Linked DNA regions of Arabidopsis thaliana. The protein of the gene in region 1 interacts with the protein of each later gene in a biochemical or structural test. Each region holds a gene or a part of one and is shown in the gene's direction. Other genes may lie near its edges.

Region 1 (5,494 bases):
TTTGGTGACGATCGACTAAATAACTCATATGAATAATGGAAACGCTTCAACTGAAATTTTTGTTAAATAATCACAAACGCTTTAAAAACGAGTTTTGTAGATTAATAAGAAATACAACCCTAATTTAAACTAAATCGTATAGTTCATCACTATCGGTGAAACATAAATTCATTATCCTAAAGACTAAACATAATTTTACTGCTAATAGAACACAACTATATAACAAAATCTAAATGAAAAGAAAAAAGCATACGCCAATTTGGAGAGCTCGAGACACAAAATTCGACTCCGGGAAGCTGATCTTTAACTGGAAATGGTGCAAAATCATCGGTCTTTGTTGCCATATCTCACTCGCTTCGAGAAGGGCTACTCTCTTTGTGATGAGAGCTGTAAATTCAAACTAAGGCTTTGCTTAAAACGGATTCAAAAGTGCTAAGTAATCGTTAGGCGGGCAACTTTGTTGACTCTTTCTTGCTTTTTTTACTTTCTGTCTTGTGTTCTCGTGCACGTAATTAACACTAATGCTATACGTAGAAAAATGAACCGGATTAAACCACTGGTGTGACTTAACCAGAATTGTCCACTTGTATATTCATGTGAAGAATATGATGTTTAATATTACAAAGTCTTTATAAGTAGCAAATTATTCTCATCTTAATGCCAAAAAAGTATACAACTAACTCCATCCACCACTTAAACATTCTCTTTAACCAATATCAAGAATTATAACTAATGACTAATTGGTATGACTTATTGTTGGCTTAATGAAAATAAGATAAAACAATAGGATTATCAGTTAAAAAATCCAGAAAGATTTAAGGAGGTTTATTTTGAAATAAATTTGATGAATTATTGTTGCTGACTTGAATTATTATCAAGTACATATTTCATATCATAAATAATTTTGGGCTCATGAGCTAAAAATGTTAATTTGGTAATTTAATAATTTATTTTGGATGGAACTAATTGCTAATGTTTTATTTTGACTGTAATTTGAAATTATTTGGACAATTATTAATTTAAACCCAAATATGAAATTAGTTTGTATTATAAAATCATAAATATCTAGGTGAAATTAGAGAAGGTTCTTTCTTTTTACTGAACATCTGCAGAAAATAAACCTAGTAAAACAAATCAACTAAAACTATGTTCAACGAACTTTTCTTTTTTTTACGAAATGATCTTTATATTTCAAATTTTGGAGAAATTCAAAAATAAATAAATTATAAAACTTTTTAATGTGTTTAAAACAAGTGTATAGATTTGGAAAACTCTCAAAATATCGCAACTACCATGTCCACAATTTTTTTTTAATTAGTGGTACAGTCAACTAGATAATTTTCAGAAAAAATAAACAATAGAGAAAATTCTATGGATAAAATGAAAATAGCATTTTTGAAAAAAAATATCACAACTACCACCCCACCACACATTTCTGAATTATATCTAGCAACATATTTGTATTTTATGTTCAAAATACCACTTAATCATCAAATTTTTAATCACCACCAAAACTTTCAAACATAAACCAAATTGTTCGTGTAAATATGATCTGGGTCACTGCGTATTAGTTTTGATAATATATTTTCTTGACAATCATATTAACACTTCATTTGGGGAATTTGATATTTTCTTTATCATTATTAAAAGTTGAATTTGTAAATATTTAGACAATTTATAATCTTCAGAATATAATAACTAGCGTAAACAAAAACGCGTTTTAAGGCCGTTTGTAAAAAACGCGTTTTAAGGCCGTTTGTGAAAAAACGCGTTTAAAGCTTAATTGGTCTAAGCGGTTTGCCGCATCAGAATTGACGGAGGTCCGTTACTCTGAATCCTTGTATTCGCATTAACCCTAACTTTTTCTGCTTCCCAAGCGTCTCGAAATCTGAATCCAGAGATTAAACAAAAATTGGTATTGCGAATGATCGATTCTTCTTCCTCTAAACTCTGATTCCTGGTGAATTCATCTGTTTCTTCTTTCTCGATTGTGTATATTCTCAGCATGAGATTAGGCTTCATTCTGAAAGAACGGATTTTTCTAGGGTTTGAGTTTCGGCATCTTTCAGTGATGTGAAGTTGGTGTTTGCTATTGCGTCTTAGTTTCTGAACTATTGCTGCGGTATAGTTTGATAATCTATGTTAGGGTTTCCTCGGAACAGGGAATTAGGGTTTTACTATTCTGTGGTATTTGATGATGAATTGTGAGCTACAACTGAAGAAAAAGTTTACATTTTTATGTAGAAACTTTAGTTCTGATTGGTTTCGTGACATTTGATATGTATTGTTGCAGAACGGACTTGCTTTGACACAGCAGACCGTAAATCGGGATGGGTGCTCCTAAGCAGAAATGGACTCAAGAAGAAGAGTCAGCTTTAAAGTCTGGAGTTATAAAGCATGGACCTGGTAAATGGCGCACAATTCTCAAAGATCCTGAATTTAGCGGAGTCTTGTACCTGCGTTCCAATGTTGATCTTAAGGTCATGATTACTTCTTATCCTTTTTGTCAGCTTTGATAATGCTACTGTATTTTGTTTGTGATTTTATCTGACTGGGAGATGGTTTGTTTATTGTATTGGGACAGGACAAATGGAGAAACATGAGTGTCATGGCAAATGGCTGGGGATCGCGCGAAAAGTCTAGGTTAGCTGTTAAAAGGACGTTCTCCCTTCCTAAACAGGAAGAGAACTCACTAGCCCTAACCAATTCTTTGCAAAGTGATGAAGAAAATGTGGATGCGACCTCTGGACTCCAAGTTTCTTCTAATCCTCCTCCAAGGAGACCTAATGTAAGGTTAGAAATGTGTCTATTTTGTTTCTTGTATTGAAGAGGAGTTGCTTTGTTGTATCTCTCTCGCTGGTATTTCTGAAGTTGGATTACATCTCAAAATGTATGGTTTGCCGTCACTTTTTATTCTGTGCAAGTCGATAAGTGTTGGATTACATTCATGTGATATGGGTTTGTTTTCACACCTCTGTTTAAGTTGTCTTCACTGGCTTAGTACATTTCTCCTCCTTCTTACTATTATCATGCGAGCCGTTTGCTCAATCCTATCACTGTGGCTTTATAATTGTGAAATTATGATGAGGATTTGTAAAGTCCCACTTACACGTAGATGTTTGTATCACTCAAATCTTTTATTATAGACAAATTGTAACTTTTAAAAACGTTGCAGGTTGGATAGCCTTATAATGGAAGCAATAGCTACCCTGAAAGAACCTGGTGGCTGTAACAAAACAACAATTGGTGCCTACATTGAGGTATTCTGTTTTCGTTCTTGCATCTTTTTTTTCTTTTCTCATAGACAATATGTATTATTAAATTGTTACTCTCAGCTAAATCGCATCGTGTTACATTTCAATTTGAATGATCCTCAGTGGGTTGATATGTTGTCAACTAGAACCTGTGAAGCATTGCGGATGAAAACCAAAATATAGCCTTTGGTTGTGTCAATAGAATATATTCCTCAATATCAATATAGGCAACGGATGTGGCAGTTTTATTGCAAGGCAATGGGTGACATCTTTATCTTCTCCTCTCCTGAATAGACGAATGTGCATTGAATATCCTGACTGAAACTAAGCTGAAAGGGCTAGAAATATTTCTGTAATTACGAGATTTATTGTGGTGGCATCTACTTAAGTCGATATAATTATGAGAATATCGTAAGAGTAGATTCTGTAGTTAATTCAGAAACACGCCAATGACATAAATATTTTCGTCTACTTATGTGATTCAAGCATGGGAAATATTGAGTTCAACTTGTACGATTACTGCTTTGAAGATTCTTTGTCTAAGTTCCTTGTAAAAGACTGATTTAGAGGACTGACTGTACCCGTGTTCCTTTTTTTTTTTTGTGTAGGATCAATATCATGCTCCACCAGACTTCAAACGCTTGTTGTCTACCAAGCTAAAGTACTTGACATCTTGCGGGAAACTTGTGAAGGTAAGAATTCCTACATTCATTTAATGCTTTTGAGTGCATATATTTTTGGTCTTTTGAATAGTATGTATGACTTTTTGTGCAAATCAATTTAGTTCATGGATGTCAGTAGAACAGAGACATATCCATTATTCACTGCAACTTGCGAGGTTTATTGATCTGGGCTTTCTCTTTTACAGGTTAAACGTAAGTACAGAATTCCAAACTCCACTCCCTTGTCTTCCCACAGGAGAAAAGGTCTGGGGGTGTTTGGAGGAAAACAGAGGACTTCTTCTTTGCCTTCACCTAAAACAGACATAGATGAAGTGAATTTTCAGACAAGGTCACAGATTGATACAGAGATAGCCAGAATGAAGAGTATGAACGTACATGAGGCGGCAGCAGTTGCAGCACAGGCAGTAGCAGAGGCAGAAGCTGCCATGGCAGAGGCTGAGGAAGCTGCAAAGGAAGCGGAGGCAGCAGAAGCCGAAGCAGAAGCAGCTCAAGCTTTCGCTGAGGAAGCTTCAAAGACATTGAAAGGAAGAAACATCTGCAAAATGGTAAAAAAAAGAAAAAAACACCCATATTCTTTTATATCACAAGACATTATATCTATGAGAGAACTTTGAAAATCTCAAAATGCTTTTGTTGAAAATGTGATTCGACAGATGATCCGTGCCTGAGGTAATGGAAAGCGAGAGAAGAAGGAGACTAAATGTGAAGAGAGAGTAGAGAGAAGCCTAGTGTTTGTGTTGATCATTCTCTTTACTTGGGAAGTTGTTTTTTAGTAGTAAGCAATCAAATATGTTTGTCAGTATGTCGTCGCTCTGACTCTTTTGATTCCTGCACAACTTTTGGGAAAAAATGTTTTATTTGGCTCTTCTCACTCTCCAATATACATACAACTATCGTTAGTAATGTGTATAATTTATAGACCGATCTATCTATGCACTATCATGCTTATCGCCAATGAGCATTTTGATTATGTATGTATTATCAATTAATAGTAGTACTGTTTTTTTAAGATATAAAAGCACAATGACTTTGGGACACTATATGGATCGTTTTCGGGTTCAGAAAAGGAATTAAATCCTTTTAAATCCCCTGTAAATCTTTTAAAAACTCTTGTAAATCTATTTTCTATTAAAATTATTTTTTCTGGGGAAAATGATCTTTTGGAAGAAAAAAAAGTTTGGCGGGAAAATTTTTGTCGGATTTTTTTGGTCGAAAAATTATCTTCGGAATAATTTTGATAGGAAAAATCATTATTATATTTTTTAAACCTAAAATATTTTCAAATAAGAGTAAAATGACCATAAAAAATCAAAAGATGGGATAAATGAAAATAAATTACAAAAAATGATAGAATTGAAAAGGAGTAGTTTGAAAGGGCATTCCTAACAATTTCTCCCGATTATATATGTAGTTGGGATTATTAGGTGATTGACAGATATATATATAATCATCCGAAATTTGACATACTAAAATAATTTGTAATCATTGATATTAAAAATAAAAAGACCATGGTATTTTTACTATAATTGTGATTCTGTAAAGAAAATAATACTATGC
Region 2 (5,905 bases), on another chromosome or scaffold:
ATCCATATACATGTGAACAAATTGTCAAAACAAATTGGTGATTGCAGCTAATGTAAAAAGTCATATGGATATAGAGGTGTGGATAGGTGTGTGATCTAAACACATCATTTCTAGATCCGGAAGATGTATCTGTTGGGAAACGATAGCTCCAATAAAACCAAATATCACATCTTCCCTAGCATTTTTGAGATAGAAAGAGATTAACACAAAGTTATTGTTAGCCAAAGTTTTTGAAGACCAACTACGTATCTATAGGCTGGAAATAGAGCAAAAATTAAACAAGGAATTCAAGGTGTTCCCAGAGAAGGGTATTAGAATTTTAACTGGAAAACTAGATGCATTTTAACAAATCAAATTTCAATGTCAATTCACAACATTCATATCACTGGATCCTAACTTGGGATTGAGTCAACTACTTAATTTAAAATTCTTCAAGTAATTTGTCAAATCGATCCTAACTTGGGATTGAATCCTATCTTACTATTTATCAATTTAACATTCAATCTTAAGAAACAGATAAAGCCAAGTAAAAATCCAATACGAGAGAGGATAAAATTTGGTTAAAGATGCTCTTACCTCTCCCAAACAATGATTCAGTTTTTCTTCTTCCCCAATTCAAACATCCTTAGTGATCTGAGTTGAGACCAATATTTTCTGTCTTAATCTTCGGCGAATTGGATTTCTAATGTTAATAATCCTTCGATAAGAAACGATGGTGGTGGCCATAAGTTTTCCAGCGAATGGAGAAAAATATACAAAAGTAAAAAAAAAAAAAAAAAATTAGGGTAAACATAGATTTTGATTGTGAATTTAGGATAACCTCATAATTTTCATGATTTTGTAAAAATTATAGAGAACGACAATGATTTTGAAAGAGAGATTGAAAATGATGAAAAACAAAAGAATATGGAAGAGAGAGATGATAAAAGGGGGATAGTTTCTTACCCACACGATCTCATCAAAAATAAGTTTAATAATTATTGTGTCATCATTACTTCAGGGGTAAATTAGTCCAATTTCTCCTCAAAAAGATGGCAAAGTGCCTAATCCCTGAAAAGTGCCTCAAAAGGAATAAAATTCTTTAAAAGTGTCTAAACGTGTCACATTCCCTTATCATTTTAGTCCTTTAATTTTTATATATTCAAAATATTTCAACACTTTGACTCGTAATCTACAGATTAAAAATAAAGAGACTTATCTATCTCTTCGTAATGCATTGATTGATCACATATGAGAGCATTACGAAAATAATTTTATTGAGTAATTTGTAATTTATAAGTTAATTTATGTATTTTTAATTTTTATTTATATGTATTTTATTTATAAATGTATTGTTTTGTTAATTAAGATTATGTGTAATATTTTAATGTATGTTTTAGTGTTATTATTAAAGTTATATAGTTTTAAAATAATTATGAACAATATAAAGACTATAATGCAAAACACATATTTTAGAAACTTCATATTTAAAGTATACTCTTGGAGAAGAAACTACTCATACTTTATATTTGAAGTTTACATACTCTATATATAAAATATCTTTTGGATATGCTCTAAATTATATTGGATTATCTTTTAGAGAACCTAAAACTTTATATTTGAGGGATAGAGTATCTCTTGGAGATGCTCGTGGTAGTTCAATATTGTACCTTAACTGTAACGTAAATGTTGTTATCTTTACTTAGACGTCTTTGATATGTAAAAATTCTATCTCTGTATCCTGTTTGTACTGGCCTCTCCAAGGTTCACCATTATTGGATGATGCACTGGGTTGATATATATAACATAACTTTTTGGCAAAAAAAAGAAACAAGAAAAAAAAAACAGTCTCTTTGGCGATAGCGATTTGGTCGGAGATTTCTCCGATTACATTGATTGGGACTTTAGTGAATCTTCACAGAAGCAACTTCACGGAGAACGGCGAGAAGAATGTGGAATTGAGAGCGTCGTTAGAGGATCGAGAAGCGTCGGCCGTTTCACTGGAGAGATCTAGTGTTGTTCGTTGATGAAGGGGTTCTAATTTCGATACCTAACGGAATTGATCATTGATAAGGTCTCATTCCGGTGGCAATCGTCGTCGCCGGAAACAATGTGCACAGATACGACCTTGAGGTTAGTTTATTCCTTTAAAATCTAATCACAACAAAATATATCATTTGTATTCATGGGATTATGTTCATTGTAATGGATTTGAGGATTTGGTAGATAAAAGTAGTAAAAATTGTGGATTGAAGAATTTTCTTGTGAGAGATGGTTGATGTAAGGGAAGGATCATATTCTGGAACATTTGTTAGCTTTGGTTACTTCTCACCATTGTGATGAAATTTGCTATATCCAGGGGATGATTCAAGTGAGAGAAAGATAAAGTTTTTTTGCCTTCAGTCTGATTCTGCATTGAATACTTCCAGTGGGCTGCAGGTTAGTGCTTAGTGTTCTTTTGATATCCTTGCATTGTCATTCCGTTGATGGCTATTCTATTGCCTCCAATGTATACTCATTCCACTTATTGGCTCCAATGTATACTCATTCCACTTATTGCCTCCAATGTATACTCACTCCACTTATTGGCTATGGGCTGCAGGTTGGTGCTTAGTGTTCTGTTGATACTCATTCCACATATTACCACTCTCTAATTTTGTGACGTCAGGATAATACTTAAAAACGTTGTAGCAAAGCGGGAGATGGCGAAGAAGAGAGAGAGTCCCAAGCTCATCAAAATCAAAGACGCCATTAAACTCATCAACCAACAAGTCAGTCTCATTGGTATCGTCCTTGAACAAAGAGAACCAAAACAATGTCGCAACAATGGTACTTATCCAAAAAAAACCAAAATTTGAGTTAAATACATAGAATTTTGCTTGAATCTGAATCTTAGTTGGTTTGTTTTGTGAAAGCCCTAACATTTGACCCAACAAAATCTGAAAGTTGGATTTTTTTCTTAGATTGGATTTGTACGCTACGGATAATTGATGATACGTATCCAAGTCCTGGACTTACTGTTAATGTATTTAGTAAGACTCTTGAACAACTTCCTCAAATCAAGAACCACGACGACATGATTCTGTTTACTCGCATTAAGGTACAAAGACCTCTTCATTTTCCTTCTGTGTTTTGTGCAGGAGGTTATAAAGTTTGGATTTTTATTGTGTAGATGCAAACTTTTGATAGTGGAGAAAGAGTAAATGCTGCTTGTAGTAGATGGGTTTCTTCCTTTGCCTTGTTCGAAGGTGTGGATTTTGTTTGTTACCAATGTAGTACCAATTTTCATGAAGAAGAAGCATTATACAAGAGTGCCATGGATGATTTACGCAAAGTTTTTGCGGGTTGTAGCCAAGTTATTAAAGGTAACACTGTGAGCTTCTTTTGCTTTCAACTATGCATATAGTATAATGGCTTTGGATAGCTTGGAACGATTCTCATAAGCTTTCATTTACTGTTTTGGTACTTAGCTATGCAGAGTATATCTTACAGAACAAAACCTTGCTCCGAAGTTTTTTCCTTCTTGAGAGAGATCAAGATAGGAAAACGCTTTGATTTGGTGTGCAGGGTAATATGCTCTATACTCTCTATTAACTGTGAGAAAGCTTTTTAACTCTTCATTCCTCTATACCACTTCATTGTTACTTCAAATCTTTTTTTGGCTCCTTTTATGTTTTGTTGACTGATCCTACCTTGTTTCCTGCTGTTTCTTGTGATGGAGATTCTCCATGCCGATGAAGATACTAGCGCTGTTTTTGTTTGGGACGGGACTGATGCACCCCCAGCATCTATTCTGGCTAAGTGAGTATTAACTGCGAAGGAAAAAAGTTTTAAATCCTCACATTATCTGTTTTGAGTCATTCATTTAGGCTTGACTCTACGCTTTCCATATCCTACGCTTACTCTTCTTCTATTTGGTGTACAATGTTTGGCTATCGACAGGAGAAGTGAAGAAGACAAGGCATTTAGCAGTCTCTCTGTTCATACTTTACTGTCAAGAGATGTACTGCTCAGCTTTCCAACCGTTGGAACGATCTTGAGAGTTCATCTAAGCAGTCATCTATTTTATCGGGTTAAACCTGGTGATTGGGTGAAACTTTACCATTTACTCTGTGAAGTTGATAGAGGATCTTGGGTAATCAAAGTTACCAGCTCTACAAAGGTTCATCATCTCGCTCAAGATGATCGTTTAGTTGAAAAGATCATGAGGTTTGTACTTCTTGATATTTCTTTCAGTAACTACTTCCGACCTTTTTGCATACCATGAGAATCTCTTACCATTTTGTTTTATAATCTAATGTGCCAAAAACTAGGATATATGATAAGAGACTATCATCAAAGTTGGGACACATTTCATTCTGGTGTTTTCCGTCACCTCCTGGATTAACAGGTTGCAATACTTCTCTTTTACTTAATGAGCAGGATCTAATCTCAACGAATGTTTTTCTCTGTGTCAATCTTTAGACAGACTTCCTTAACATTCTTGGTGTCTTGCAGAGACAGATGACAATTGTGCCCCATTTGTTACACTGATGGACATCATAACATTCCCCAAGGTACCATTCATGAATCTATTTGCTGTATTCCCTGAAAAGATTAAGAATACTTTTATGTGATCGCCTACGTTGTTATTACAGGTTACATGCAAGTACAGATGTATTGTTCGGGTTGTAGCTGCATATCCTTGGCAAGTAGAGGATTTCTGTTCAGATGAGAATCGCCGTCACCACCAAGTTTTGTTGACACTGGAGGATTCAACAGCGACTTTAGAGGCTTTCTTATGCAATAAAGACGCAGTAAATACACCATTTGGTCTATTTGCATCTAAACTGTCAACAAAGATCGTCTCTGATAGCCTAATCTAGATTTTATTGGCAGGAGTACTTTTGGGGTTTAGGGTTTCAGGACACAGAGACGCTGAGGAAGAAGCGGAATTGGTTGCTCGGTATACGGGAAAGCTCGAACTTTGTGGCTCCAAGAAATCCACCATGGATCGAGTGCTGCATCCTCTCCTACTATACTAACAAAGCTGACCCGTGGAATACTAGATTATACAGAATCTTTGGTACTAGACTACTTCATTAAGTATTTGTAAGTGTTAAAAGAGGATTAAATAGTTTAGTATTAGGCTCATGTTAAGAATGTTGGATTTGGCTTACTTAAGTATGGTAGTTGTGTTGTTTTAGTTCATGAAGACCTTGTAACCAAAAGAACATCTTCATGATATTAACCAAATCCAAAGACTGAACACAAAAATATCTTCCTCTAGACCTAAAGAGTTAATAGAAGCAGCAGGCAATATACACATTTTCATTGTGGAACAACTCTACCTTGTTCAAAGTTTTAAAATGGTTTCGACCTGTGGAATGTTTCACTAACAGTCCTTCATAAAACTCCACAATCTTCGCTGATACAACAACTCTCCCATGAATCAACTCGGATCTGATAAGCAAAAAGTATTGGTACTATCAAATGTTTGAACTCCAATTTTGGTTCCACATAACTTAAAAACCATTAATACGAAAGAGTCTCACATTGAGTTTAAGACATAATCAGAAGAAACAATAAACAACCACACAAGTCTTTCTTGTCCCTAACTGAGAAAAAAGAGAGCCAATCGTAGCTGATGATTAGCTGAGGCCATCTTAGTATCTTCTGGGTGCCCTGCCGCCGAAAGCAGCGATTGGTGCCATAGCTTGTTGTGGCTCGACTGCAGAGATGCCGGATGTGTCAGACATTCCTAGAGAAGCAAGCATCTCAAGAGTCTCTTTGTCGACCTTGATCTCATCAGTCTTGATAGCAGACTCATCGGGAACAAAGTCCATACGGCGTTCACGCTCTTCTTCTTGAAGCTTGAGTGAGATTCCACGGACTGGTCCCTTCTGGATACGTTTCATCAAGTGGGTGGAGAATCCAGCAATCTTGT

What was found.
Region 2: the proteins of TRB1 (region 1) and AtPOT1a form a complex in vitro, tested with the Arabidopsis thaliana proteins (2 studies listed by BioGRID).

Annotation. Positions count from the first base shown.
Region 1 is NC_003070.9:18,493,550-18,499,043, reverse strand, and holds TRB1 (telomere repeat binding factor 1), read left to right. Parts: upstream 1-1,725; 5' UTR 1,726-1,915; exon of another isoform or gene 1,916-2,122; intron 2,123-2,293; 5' UTR 2,294-2,330; coding exon 2,331-2,480; intron 2,481-2,584; coding exon 2,585-2,793; intron 2,794-3,175; coding exon 3,176-3,260; intron 3,261-3,862; coding exon 3,863-3,946; intron 3,947-4,122; coding exon 4,123-4,482; intron 4,483-4,590; coding exon 4,591-4,605; 3' UTR 4,606-4,973; downstream 4,974-5,494. Other genes in the region: AT1G49960 (Xanthine/uracil permease family protein), read right to left, coding at 254-344. UniProt on the Arabidopsis thaliana protein: Binds preferentially double-stranded telomeric repeats.
Region 2 is NC_003071.7:1,889,133-1,895,037, forward strand, and holds AtPOT1a (Nucleic acid-binding, OB-fold-like protein), read left to right. Parts: upstream 1-1,551; 5' UTR 1,552-2,112; intron 2,113-2,338; 5' UTR 2,339-2,418; intron 2,419-2,581; 5' UTR 2,582-2,681; coding exon 2,682-2,808; intron 2,809-2,942; coding exon 2,943-3,079; intron 3,080-3,151; coding exon 3,152-3,344; intron 3,345-3,449; coding exon 3,450-3,547; intron 3,548-3,700; coding exon 3,701-3,780; intron 3,781-3,921; coding exon 3,922-4,188; intron 4,189-4,292; coding exon 4,293-4,369; intron 4,370-4,476; coding exon 4,477-4,535; intron 4,536-4,616; coding exon 4,617-4,775; intron 4,776-4,857; coding exon 4,858-5,064; 3' UTR 5,065-5,382; downstream 5,383-5,905. Other genes in the region: AT2G05220 (Ribosomal S17 family protein), read right to left, coding at 5,625-5,905. UniProt on the Arabidopsis thaliana protein: Component of the telomerase ribonucleoprotein (RNP) complex that is essential for the positive regulation of telomere length. Binds RNA non-specifically. Binds specifically single-stranded telomeric DNA.